2 linked regions of the Xenopus tropicalis genome follow. The protein of the gene in region 1 interacts with the protein of each later gene in a pairwise test. Links are inferred from orthologs where the notes say so. Each region holds a gene or a part of one and is shown on either strand. Other genes may lie near its edges. The genes, in order: ift20 and nup54.

Region 1 (6,312 bases):
ACACTTGCCACTTAGTTGCTGCACCTCTCTCACTAGCCAGGGATTCTACACCAGTTGCACTAATCAAATAAAGCCACACACAGTTGTAAATGCAAGGGGCCTTACCCCATTTATTGAAATTACTTAGTGCCAAGGTTTGGGTTCCCATAGGTACCAGGTATGGACCTCAGAGATTACTCAGTCATTCAGCAACTGCTTGAGACTGCACTGTTCAGAGAACTCCTTGTTCCTCAGTTGCTTTTAGTAAGGTTACATTTTTGGTTTTGTGATTTACAAATTACTAACTGGTAATTCCTATTCCAGGTAAGTGCTTAAATATCAAGCAGTTTTGTTGGGCTTTTAAATGGAGTCTTGTAATAACACATTCCAAGAGCTGAGTTCGTGGTGAGAGTAGCACGAGAAAAGGAGGAGATCTGGTGAAAAATGTCCTTGTATCTCAGGCTGCTTCTCTAATACAGATACACCCATAGAATGGACTGTACAGTGCCTCTCTGGCAGCCTTGTCTTGCGAGACATCTCTGCAGTGAAGCTAGGGGTAATGTCTCTGCAGATTCATGGCGTGGGCAATGCACACATTATATTTTGCATAAAAGTGCTGAACACACAGTGATCTTAAAGGAACCTGAATGGTGTTCATACATGATGAGAACCAAAGGCAAAAAAAGAAATTGATTTACACATGTATTTCTTGAAGTTGAAGTTGGGCTTGGTGCTTGGGCTTTTGGGAGTTAGAGGAAACATGCAGATACTCTCTGAATGTTTCCCTGTGGAGAAGACAAGACAAGACAAGACAATGAGCAGGGACAATCTTTAGGGAAACATTTTTTTGTTGGGGCAAATATAATCATTGGGGAAGGGATGTGGGTTGATCTATACATTCGCAAATAATTAGTTGTCCTTAGCAGTATCTGTTCTTAGTTAGTGCCGCTCAACAGGTTGCAGACTCCCGTGGTGGCTGCATATAGTTACAAATATGATAATTAATTTACCCGGAGAGCACAATAAGCCTTATAGCTTCATTACAGTGACTTGTGACTTTATTGTGGAGACTTCATGCACTACATGTTTTACCTCAACAGCCTTCTTCAGGTGCTTGAAATGCATGAGGTCTCCACAATAAAGTCGCTGTGATGAAGCTATAAGGCTCATTGTGCTCTCCGGGTAACTGAATTATTGTATTTGATTTATACATGTTTACTCTGTATTCCTAAGCACCCAGAGATCAAACCAATGTAGTTGTGCTTTAGTACTTGCCCCATGAGGGGGGAGCTTTTTTTTATTTTTTGCTAACAGCACAATTTTGCAGAAAATTAGAGTGAACAAACTATAATTTAGAGAAAAAGAACTATATCAGATTCCCTAAAGTTCTCTCCAAATCTAAGCGGCTATGGAGAAACAGTGGCAGGGAGTAGATACATTTTATGTTGAATGTGGTCTCACCAAAGATGTCTACTGTCAATAAGTACATAAGCCGAGCATCAAAAGGTAACTAGTTTCCAATATTGGAATTGTGTAACAAGCTGTGAGGCACCTTTTGCTGTTGCTGCTATCTGCACCCTGTCCCTTCTGCTCACTTGTACACTGGCATTAACAATTGCCTAAAGAACAGAAGCACAGTTGAAGCATTGTGATACATTTTTCTTTTTTTATAAATCGAGGCAAATTAAATGTACACAAAAAAGCATCCATATAAAACATTTGTTTCTATGCACTGAGAGCACAATACTTATCCATCCACTGATCAACAGCACTCCAAGCAATTTAACATGTGCAAATAAATGATATAAAATGAGATACATTAAAAACTAAACAAATCCAACTCCAGTTTCAGTCACGACCAACATGTATGTAGAAACGTACCAATAAAAACGTTACCCGTCGCCGTTGCTCGGCTTTTTCAATACTTCTGATTTAAGATGAACTGTGGGGTATTTTCCCCTGATGAACAAGAACACACTATAGAAATGTTGTTGCTAAAGTACCAATGATGTACGTGTGTGTGTGTGTGTGTGTGTGTGTGTGTATATATATATATATATATATATATATATATATAGGCAAATTTTGCTGTCATTCTCTTCACATTTCCAATTATAATAACCGCCCATCTCTGCAAAGCGTTTAAATCTGTTTCTCTCAAACTGTGAGGCTATTTTTAAGATGTGAGTTGTCCCCATATGCACATAAGCATACATGGAGCAAAGTTGCTCTTCTTACAGCGTTTTCTGCAAAGGCAATGTCAAAAATATATATAACCGTAATCTTTACAGACATGCAAAGCCCTGCCTATAACTTCACAGTGATGATTCAAGTGGGTGAGATATCGGTGAAAACAGGGTTTAGATAACCTTAGGTGGGGTAAGCTGAGCCAAAATATGCCAGCATAATCCCTGCTAAGCGGCTATTACTGATGCATGACTGTTCATTGCAGGAAATACACATTCTTAAATGTGCTGATGTGTTGCATTAAATACATTGTGTCCAGCATCTAATAACTGTACTTAAACTATGGTTTAAAAAGCACTTGGGCAGATAGAAAGTATAATAATACATTTTAATGTTTAACAATGATTTAAAAATAGGCTTGTATCTCTTAAAGCTTCTTGACCGGTTACTTGCTGGAGAGAAATGCTGGTTTTGTTCTTTTACGATGAAATGTCTGAAACAGCAGAGCTTGGTCAGGTGTCCGAGAATGCTTTAGACAAAAGGAGCAAGTAGTATTGAGGAATGTTTTATTGAACAGTGCTGCAATGTCCAACTGGAATTGCAATGAAATGTGTGTACTGAGAAGAAATTCTTGCTGGGAAAATAAAGCGACCCGCGCAGTCAGCCAGAGCAATCACAGCCTGCAAGTGGTGCTATTTCTGGAGGTTAAATTGATCAATAAATTCATTTTGTTCAGCTTCCACTTTACACAGTGCCTCGTATTCTATTCGGTACCTGAAAGAAAGGAACAATAGAAATCATTATCCAGGAAGCTCCCAGATATAGAAGAGCCATTTCCCATTATGTCCTACTTATAGGGGACATCTGCACACCCATATAACTTCATTTAATATTGCTCTTATAGGCACATTTGCAGTTACCATATGTGTGTGTGTGTGTGTGTATATTATATGTGCGTTTTTTTTTTTTTTTTTTAATTTCATGTTAGCAGTTTTAACCCTGCTAATATAAAGAATGTGTAACCGAAGCACCCTTTGTTGTGGGGGCATTTTATATCTTATAGGGTGCCCCTTTCTCTACTCCAAAACATGACACATTGCAGTTATCCTCAACCTATCCCAGGCTGTGCCTTGTATTCATTATGTTCCATTCAAGCTAAACGTTTGTCTATAAATTATTCATGGAGAAAATATCTTCCTCCAGCTTTATATATACTGACAGACCACCGCCATCATCCTTCTTCAATTAAAAGGCTAATCCAGAGAAGTCTTGCTGCTGATGACAATTGGTGGAGCAAATAACAAAGTTGGTAGAGTTAATATTTGCACAAACTGTTCCTCAGGCTGCACCACCCACCTTATGCACAAATAAGCAAATAAATGCAACTTATGACTAAACTGAATACATACAGGCACAGGATTTGCCCATTGGTAAATACATACCTTTCTAGTTGCATTTTCTTCTCTGCTATTAAGGCATACAGTTGCTGCTGCTGGGCTTCTCTTTGCTTTGCTATAGATTTTAATAAGTTCCGGGCACCTATTGCCTATTAATGAAATAAATACATTATTATTTAAATGTTTGGCCATACACTCAGCTGATCATTGTGCTGTGGGACTACCAAGCACTATTCAAGACAAAGTATTTCTACAGCAGATTGATTGCTGTGCTCTGTGACCAAAGTGTATTACTAGCAGTTAAATCAAATGAAAAGCTGCATAGCATTGCATCTAAGAATGCATCGTAACGCATATATTGTGCTACTAAAACTAAGCTTGCTTTTGTTTACCACAAAACTCTCTATTGTATTATCAAGTGTCAAGTGCAAAAAATGCCCCAATGCAGAAAAGAAAACACGACTGCAATTAAAAATAAATTCTGACCACATAAGTACAAACAGACAGAATATAATGGAATTAATGAGCTGATGTGTTTAGCAGCGATTGAATAACCATGCATCAATATCTAGAAAACACCAGTGTATAGCGGCCTGCCTACGGTTTTTCTGTGACAATACTGTACGTGTTTGGCACAGTTTGCAAGAGAGTGCTTTTAATATTGCATGGGATTCTTTCTGCTTCTTACATGTTTATTTCTGTGTCTGGTGAGGTTACATCCAGTAGGCAGAGGACAACCATGCCAATAAACATGCTTATTAATATCTGCTTTAGTCGGAAAAATAGAAAACAGTGGTGTTGGCATGTCCATCAATCACTCTAACCAACCCTTGGGGGTATTTCAGACAAAGGGTGAATAGTCTTCATTTAAATTAATTAAGAATTTATATCCTCACCTTCATTTTTTCGTTTTCGGTTTCTTTTGCTAGCTCATCAACAAGTTCAATTAGTCCACCCACTACTTTCTGAAAATGGCCTATTTCTAAAGAAAAAAAAAAAAAAAGGCGCCATTTGTTAGTAAGAAACACATATTGATATAAGTGATTAACATTGGGATCTGACACTGCAATTCTCTCATACTTATATATGAATCACAGATATGCAGGCTTCCAGCAGCGACTTGCTATAAAAGGCATGTGACAACAGCTGGAGGGCTGTAAAAATATTCTCTAGACCTGGGATCCCCAACTTTTTTTTTTTTTTTTACACTACTCGTGAGCCACACTCAATTTTACAAGTGTTGGGGAGCCACACAAGTATGAACAAAAAATTCTTTAGGAATGCCAAATAAGAGCTGTGATTGGCTAAGTGGTAGCCCCATGTGAACTCCTTGCCTCCAGATAGCTCTACTTGAAGTAAACCTGTGTCTTTGTGTTTCCAAAACTTGCCTCCAAGCCAGAAATGTAAAAATGGGCGCCTACTTTGAGGCCACTGGGAGCAATATCAAAGAGGGTGATCGGGAATCACTGCCCTAGACTAATTTATATCTGGAACGCCAGGATGAGCAGCATCTCCATTTGTACTTAAAATAGCAGCTTTTGGTGCCCATGCAATAATTATGCAGCAGCTGGAAAGTTAAAGCTATATACACGTGGCTTCTGTAGCCTCACAAAGTATGGAACCTGTTATCCATAATGCTCGGGGACCTGGGTTTTTCTGGATAAGGGATATTTCCATAATATGAATCGCCATACCTTAAGTCTGCTAAAAATCATTTAAACATTAAATAATCCCAATAGTTTGTTCTGCCTCCAATGAGGATCGATTATATCTTCGTTGGGATAAAGTACAAGGTGCAGTTTTATTATTACAGATAAAAATGAAATCATTTTCAATAATTAGAATTATTTGCTTATAATAGAGTCTACTGGAGATGGCCTTTCTGTAATTCGGAACTTTATGGATAATAGGCTTGCGGATAACGGATCCCATACCTGTACTAGCAACTCTACATATGAAAGAAAATAAGGCGACTGCTGCACTAGCATCAGTCACTGCATTGGCCTAGGTGCACCAAAACATATGAGTATACATTTCAGCATATCCTCAGGCTGAGAATCAGCCCCGTGTGATAGTAGCCTATGGGGACAAAGCTGAACTTTACTTCTAGACACAGTATGGGAAGCCTACATACTGGCATGTAAGGGTAAATAAATCCCATCACATTCTAAATTATAGATTTGGCATATTTTATATTTAGTAGTCCCAAATAATAACATGGACAATTACTGTGTTTTATATTCTCTGTAGACAGTGCAGCAATTTGCTATTTCCCACTAAGTTATACTGACTTACTGTCTACAAAATCTCTGCATTCCTCCTTTAATTCGTTTGTTTGCTGGGCGACATCTGGATCCAAGATGCGCAATTTGTTCAGCTCATCAAAGTGAAGCCCCGCATCGGATAAGGAGTCCCTGGCCATCGCTGTGAGTACAAAGCAGGAAGGATATTTGGTTAAATGTTTTATAATGTAAGACTTTTCTTAAATCAATGAAGCTGCCTTGCTGAAATCTCAATATGGTCACAATTCAGATTTTGTTTTGAAGTAGGGTTTATATCAGCTGTACTTTTCTGTAATCTCCAGTGTATATGAATGCAGAGAATCCCTTCTTCTGACTTCAGAGGGCATTTTGGTAGCCAGGATGCCACAACAACAACAAACATTTGTAAAGCGCTTTTCTCCCGTAGGACCCAAAGCCACAGGAAACAAGTAACTGCTTGGCTTTACTCAGAAATAACTGAGAATAAC
Region 2 (7,635 bases), on another chromosome or scaffold:
TATGCCATCCCACCGGCGATTTACATTTTCGCCGGTGGGATGGCAATCTGGGGAGATTAGTCGCAGGCGACTAATCTCCCCGTGTGCCAAAGCCCTAAGAAGTAATAGGGAAAGTCCCTTATCAGATTAGCAACAATTGTAACCACTTCTCAGTATATCCAGGAAAAGATCAGTGCTTGCTGCTTACTACAGCGCTCCTTTTACAAAATATTCTTGAGCAGTCTCATCTGAGAGTTAGCATTGCCCACTCAGCCACCCCAATATATGTAGAACGTCCCAGTGCTTATTGGAGTGCTTTTACTACAGCACTCCTAATACAAACATATCTTTCAAGCACTTTCCTCTGTACATTATGTATTTCTGCCCAACCACCACAGCATTTGTAAGTCGCCCCACCATCCACTATAGTAAAGCCTCCCTTGTCCCTAGGACGAAATACCCCCGCTCCTAAAACTGCACAGTATTCGTGCACCCTCTCAAACCCACCCCATTAGGTAGAAGGCCCCCCGCATCTGCAGCCCGACCTCCCCCCAAAAAGAACAAGCCGCTCTGCCCGACGCGTGTTTCGCTCCCATTAAATGGAGCTTTTTCAAGGGCTAGCACGCCCCCTCTGTGTGCCGGTTTTTAAATCGGATATTTAGCCATACTAAGAGAAAAACAAATTTCACACAGTGGCCACAAGGGGGCGAAATTTTACAAGCAATATTTACAATAGAAATGTATATAAGAAAATTCATCTGTGATTAATCAATTGTGATCCTATTACCATTGTACATGAGGTTATAATATTAATTCCTTGCTGCTTTCTATATATGTAAATACTTCATTTGCACGTTATCTGGAGACATTTCTCCCCCTCTATCTTGTTTATACATTAGTGTTAACATTTGGTGGAGCTTAACTTAATTGTGGAAGGTGCAGCTATTTCTTTTCTGTTCTGTGCATGGACATGGGTATCAGGCCACCCATATTGGTACAAAAAAGATTTTGGCAGGATGCAAAGCTTGCCTTAAAGGAGACATATTGTATAAATGGAAAATTTTGAAGGCAATTATGAATAATATATGGTGCTGGTTTCACTTTGGGCTAAAAATGAATCCTGTCTGTAAAGATGGCCCCTTTATTGGAGCTCCCTATAGATCCTATCAGTTCTCTGTTTCAAATGAAGGGTGGGCGTGCCCTAACAGAAACACCGCAGGAGGGGGATAGCCAATCACTGCCTCGCACTCACACAAGCAAAGACAGCCTTCAATTCCCTAACAGATCAGCCTAGCTGCTGATTGGTTCCTATCCTACAGTGCCTTGTACTGACAGCTGCCGGCTCCAGTGAATTCAGCAAGCAGGAAGTGGAACAGATGGGCGGGACTAGTGTGGTTTTGGTGGAATTTCTCAATAAATCTGTCTAAAACACAACTTTTTTTAAGCACAATCCTTCTATATTTAGAGGAGTATAATTCACTGGTACATTCTGTATTTTTATACGATATGTCTCCTTTAATAACAGCACAAAATGGCACCTGCCAGGAATACAAGAAATATAAAAAATAAAGATGAATTGAAAATGTGCTAAAATCCATACTATAAAATACTAAAAGTTAACTTTGAACTAACTATGAAGACCAACCCCTTTAAAAACTGCTTCAAGTGCATTGCCCCATGGCAACTGCAATGAAGCTTAAATTCCAGTGTCACGATTACGCCACTTCAGACGCACATGACTTTAGGCGTGGCTGTCTAGAGGGTCCCTTGCTCAGTCTCACACACCTGACACCCAGGTCAGACTAGCATCACAGCACCCCAAAGACCAACCAACGCTCACAAACTCATACACAACTTGCTGCCACCACTCTCATACTTCTTACACTATAATATTATAAAAAGTATAACAGTGCAAGTTTAAAACAAGATGTTACAAAAAAGGACATACGATAAAACAAGTACAAACAGTTTTAAAATAAAAGGGAAAAATATAGAAGTCCTATACTATACCAAGCAAAGTCCTTCTAGCCCTGGAGGCAAGGGGAAACCACAGGATAAACTTCTAATAGAAATTGGTCCTCCACAGAATATCCGAGTATAGTCAGAAGAGCTGACTATTTATCCCAGTTTGCAGGGGATCAGGTAACTGGACACTCCCCCCTCCCTCAGGAATGCAAGGGGAGTCACCATTAGCAGGACACAGTGTGAGTTTTATGGCCTCCTGTGTATGGACTGGTCCAATGATACCAATGTCCATAACTCCTTGTGGGAACATAATAGAAAGATGAAATTAGGTTCATCAATTCTAAATGATCCCACCGGTCCCATACAGACTAAACATCACTACTGTGTGACCTGCCCCTGCCCAGATACTCCTATCTGACAAACCGAGAACCCAAATCCAGCGATGTTTGGACCCGTAAGAAAGGCCATCTTAAATGAAACATATACTCAGGTTTTGGTACCTCTAGTATAAATAGTATGGGTTCTGGGACAATAAATGTTTGTGAGTTTGGGTTATGGTGTGATCTCCACCTCACCTATGATGGGTCCCAATGTGAACTCTAAGTCACCCCCACGTGGGTTTCACTCCCTCACATGGCATGGCTCTTATCAGCCAGAGATTAGAGTTGGGCGTTCCAGGATGTGAGGCCTTTACACATGGCTGGTTCCAGACCCTAGTGACCAGAGGCCTGTTATATATCTCTTTCTGGCACATTTCTGGAAGATTTTGGGATACCTTGGCCTGCTTAATTAACTCTTACAGGCCTATATCATGACATCCAGGAAAAATGCTGTATTGTGGAGAAAAATATGCTAACTGAACCTTGCATTTTTCTTGTTGCACTCTCTCATACGTACATGTGACCTCAGGGGGAATTACCACAAGGACTTTTTTTTCCAAAAAGAACTCCTATCCTGTAATGGTAGTTTAGGCAGCATGTCAGCACTAAAGGATTAACCTGTGTACTATAGAACAAACTTGTTACTAAATAAATCTTGGCCTGCCAGCTTCCCGTTCTACAAAAGAAAGTAAGGGTCTCTCTGCACCACCCACTATAGAAATCAGAAGCATATGTTACAAGCAGCGGTCGGGAAGTGGTTCATATGTAGCAAGGATAAATCAATTTCCTTTAATCCGTGGAATAAGGTATGTCCGTGTAAATAAAAATATGTTCACAATTTACAGTGTTCATGCACTAGAATAAGCTAATATTAAAGCATAAAAATGGGGGTATATAGTTTACCCTATTAACAAACGCGTGTTTGCATTCTATTTTTTAACCTAATAGGGAGCATTGCCACTAGGAATACAAAGCCCGTTACAATGACAGCAACTAGCAACAAGTGAGCAGCATGTTTCCTATACTTCAGATAAACAGATCCGCTAAATTTATAGAAATTGGAGCCAACCAGAAATATCCCAACCCATATGCAACGCAAACTCTTCTCCAGTACGCATAGGCGAATCCGTCTACTGTAGAGTGACTGTCTCTCCAGAAACCTGCATCTCTATGATCTCGACGTATACGTAATTCCTTACGCAAGGCGGCGTGTTCTCCGGCTTCTGAGCTGGGCCTATCTGACAAGCGCTTTCGTAAGCGCGGGAGTTAATCAGGATTTAGCAGGTCTGCTACTATTTGTTGCTACCTCCTGGTGTGTCTAACTCTGAAGCCGGTCGTGGGAGGTGGGTTGAATTGCTGCAAAGAACCTCGGTGCATCGGTGAGCAGGGGCATGGCGTTCAACTTTGGAGCCAGCACTGGGACGCCGGCCAACCAAGGTGAGCGAGCAAAATTTTCCGGAATGGGAAAATGTATTGGCCGGCAGGCGAGAAGAACCACACGTGACATTGACCTATCACTGGGTTTGCTCGTACATAATTATGTTATAGTCGTGCCAGAGCTGTAAACCACCCCACATGTAGATCCTAAGAGAAAAAATGTAGTAATGAATGAAAAATGAGTGTGATTTTTATGCAGCACACCTTGTTTACACATTTCTGTACGTTATAATGACATTATTGAATGGTAAACAATATAATAACATATAAATAGAAAAAAAATGCATTTGAAATTAACTATTGAGGCTTAGAAGACTATGAGAGGGAGCTCCCTCCACATAAAGCTTGCAATCTTGGGGTTGAGTGCCTAGGCACTGTTTAGTGAAAATTACAGTGACTACATAAGTGTTGATATGTTTGCAAAAACACTCCGATATCAGACTAAGGAGCCAGAATGTTCTTGGCAACCATGTCATCACCAAGCATTTATTTTCGTTGCAAAAAATCTCAATTTACTTGCATTTAAAACCTTTCTTGAGCAACTTAACCCTGGGAAATTGGGAGGCAGATATTAAATGGAAGGTTTTATAAAAGGCCTGTGAGCTGCTCCACAAAGAACCTATGATCATTTTTGATGCAGATATCTAAAAAAAACATTGCTAAATAACTGAAACATAATGAGCGTCATATTGGCCCACTGGAATAAAATAAAAACTAGTGGGCCCAGGTGTCAGTGGGCCCTCTATTTCTGTATGGTAACATGGAATCTGTATAGATGGAAGAATAGTATAGCACATAAAGAGGACTAATAAGGGACTGAGTGAGAACAGGAGGAAAAATTGTCTAGAGGGTGGGCCCATAATCTTAGATTTTTCTGGAGGGACCCTGCCACTATAGTCCAACACTGCCCATAATAAACTTTCTTTGCTGTAAGCAGAGACTGTCAAATCCACTCGACTGAATTTCAGTTATTATGGCACTAACATAAACTATTCAGGCAACAAAGCACTTTGGAATGGAGTGAACTGGTAGGACCTTTCTTTCTAGTTGTCAGTACAGCTATAAAATGGCTCAGGGAGAAAGGGATTGGTATATCACAGGAGGAGCCACCTATATAGTCATTTAGCACTTGGGCTGCCCTCAAATCAGCTAAGTATTGTTTCCTAGATGTGCATCCCATTAAACTTCTAATATGATTTAAAACCTTACGAAGTTAAACCTGCTCAAGTGCTCTCGGAGCAGTTCTAATGTAGTCTTCTTTTGATGATAAAGCCACAAAATGTAAAAGGGTCTTTCATTTTATTGCTGAATTTTTGTTTTGCTTCCTATATTTAATATGTTCTAATTATTTTTTTCCCATATCTACTTTTCTAGGTACAACTGGATTTTCACTTGGCACTTTTACGCCTAAGACTACTACATCAGGGTTTGGTTTCGGTACAACTACCACAACTGCATCAACAGGCTTTGGAGGTAAGAATAAACTTGCTTATTTGTTAAATCATGGTTAAATCAGATGCAGTGCTGCTCCCATTTCTTGAGTGAACTTTTAGAATAATCTTTTATTCTTCATGTGGGTAAAAACATTTAATTTTCACATCTTGTAAATGCATCTGCATTTTTCCTGAGATACTTCCATATTATTTTACCAAGACTTTTGGGAAGACCTCTCTAGATTTAAGTTGACTTATTCTGTTTTGTCTTTTTTTGAAACTCAAACAATGTTATTGATTTGTCAAAAAGTTGCAAGGGGCCATTTGCTGCTACCCCTGCCACAAGCACCCCAGCTCACCCCTCATGAATACAGTGCTGTATTTGAAGGGCGAAAGCAGGTCTCTGTTTTGGAGTAAAAAAAGAATCAACAAAATGTAAATGACCAAACCAATCCTTGCTGAAGTTTTAGGATTCCACAAAGTGATCCTTCAATAATGAAACCAAACTTCAGCGCCAAAGGGTATAGAATAAACAACAAAAAGACAGTTCTATATTGTGTGGTATTCAAAAACAACTGGTAGATAAATGCTGTCAGCAGATTAACTCCATAAAACGACCCCTCAAATTCACTTGTAGATTGTACTTTTTTTCTAATCACTGAAAGCAGTAAGAGTGCAACATTGTGTAAAAACCTTACTTTAATATATTATAAAACCAAACATTGCACCTACAATGTTTACAGACGATAGCGTGCACACACAAAAGGCCCCATGAGTCCTGGAAACCAGTGCGAAGGGAGAAGTGGCCAGCGTTTGTTCAGTGTTCTGTTTTGGAGTGCACTTTTTCAAGATTACTCAGCTGTCCAGTTTCTTTAGACTACTAAATACTGTATATCATGGTCTGGATGAATGATAACCCTCACAAACATTCTGGAATCAGATGTTTTTAAAGGACATGTAAAGCCTACATTTATCTACAATGTATATCAGTGTGACACATCTCCCCCACCCAAATGGCATCATTTGTACTGCATATATCCCCTCCCCTTGCTATCACCATCGCATTTTCCAAAAGCAAATAGCAACTTTCACTGGGTGGCCATTTTTCCTCCGATACATAATCAGATACATTTAAATCTGCAAACAGCATACACACACACCCTTATTTAGCATACATTTCTTCAAGAATACAGGCTCACACAGGCAGAACTGTATCTGATAAAAGTTCTGCTGTGTTTGAGCTGAGCTCAGGAGACGAGGTTAGGAGAGAAAAATTGAAGCAGACAGCTAGAGCTGAGTTTCTATGGGAACCAGCAATGCCATCTCTTCACTGGCTGCTAGACTGGGAGGGGTGTGTTTAGTAATCTGAGTTTAGAACAACTTAATTACATTTTTGTGTGTGGGGTTTACATGTCCTTTAAAAACACTGTTATAATTGAATAATGCTGTGGGTTACTTCATTTTTACTGTCTCTTTTGCTTCCTTTTCCCCACTTTTGTACACATGACTCTAATTCTTGCTAACTTTTCTTCATGCTTCCTACTCATCAGGATTTGGAGGGCTGGAATCGGTGACCTCCAATGCCAGTGGGTTTAACTTTGGGGGGTTTGGACTAGCTGCTAATCCAGCTTTAAACTTTAACATTGGGAATTTCAGTGTGTCTACTGCTCCAGCAGCACCCTTCAATTTTGGTAACAGCCTGGCAAGTGCAGGTAGAGAAATATGAATGTATGTGTATGTCTTAAAATGCAGTGCATTGGTCCAAGAATAGGTGACAGTAGTGCAACAAAGGCATTGATCAGTGCAGCAGGGTAATACTATTGCAGCTACAAACCATATTTTGGTTATTTTGCTAGTTTTCCAAGTTAGTATGCAATACTAACACACTTAATATAAGTGCTTTTAAGGTTTACCCATTGCTTAGTATTACATAATTCTCTGAGAATGCACTCTTTTAATTTCTGATTTTAAAGAAGAACAACCCCTACCTACTGAATCACATAACTGAATCCCTAAAAATTATTTCTGTACCCCATTTCAGCCAAAAAAGGCATTCCAAATCTGCTGCCAGCAGAGTTAAATGGTGCATATTCCCAGTGCACCTTGAAGTTTATCTAATCAAAGTGTGGATTATGTTGGGCTGGACTAAGTGATTTTAACTTTTTTATGCTGCAAGGAGTTTAGCAGATGTTCTATGCTGTTAAATTTGACTCCATGGGACACCTACTATGACAATGCACAATTTAATTTTATAAAATATTAATATTTGAAAGTTAGGACTGAGGTTAAGAACATACAAAAAGTAAAGGTAGCCATGGATGGCCTAACATTACCTACAAATTTGGCCTTTTTAGACCAAGTTGGTGTCATATTTGTCTGCCTATTGCCAAAGTGATGGCTTGTATAACGGATAACTGGATAGCGATCAGACAGATATCTGT

Evidence for each region.
Region 2: the proteins of ift20 (region 1) and nup54 interact in binary tests that used the Homo sapiens proteins (3 or more experiments, as listed by UniProt). The two-hybrid records come from large-scale screens. The link is inferred for Xenopus tropicalis from reciprocal best matches to the Homo sapiens genes IFT20 and NUP54.

The regions. Positions count from the first base shown.
Region 1 is NC_030678.2:47,405,892-47,412,203, forward strand, and holds the end of ift20 (intraflagellar transport protein 20 homolog), read right to left. Parts: intron 5,988-6,312; 5' UTR 5,986-5,987; coding exon 5,859-5,985; intron 4,546-5,858; coding exon 4,460-4,545; intron 3,713-4,459; coding exon 3,609-3,712; intron 2,941-3,608; coding exon 2,859-2,940; 3' UTR 2,048-2,858; exon of another isoform or gene 2,014-2,047; 3' UTR 1,632-2,013; downstream 1-1,631. UniProt on the Homo sapiens protein: Part of intraflagellar transport (IFT) particles involved in ciliary process assembly. May play a role in the trafficking of ciliary membrane proteins from the Golgi complex to the cilium.
Region 2 is NC_030677.2:81,673,158-81,680,792, reverse strand, and holds the start of nup54 (nucleoporin p54), read left to right. Parts: upstream 1-3,549; 5' UTR 3,550-3,715; coding exon 3,716-3,761; intron 3,762-5,135; coding exon 5,136-5,234; intron 5,235-7,635. UniProt on the Homo sapiens protein: Component of the nuclear pore complex, a complex required for the trafficking across the nuclear membrane.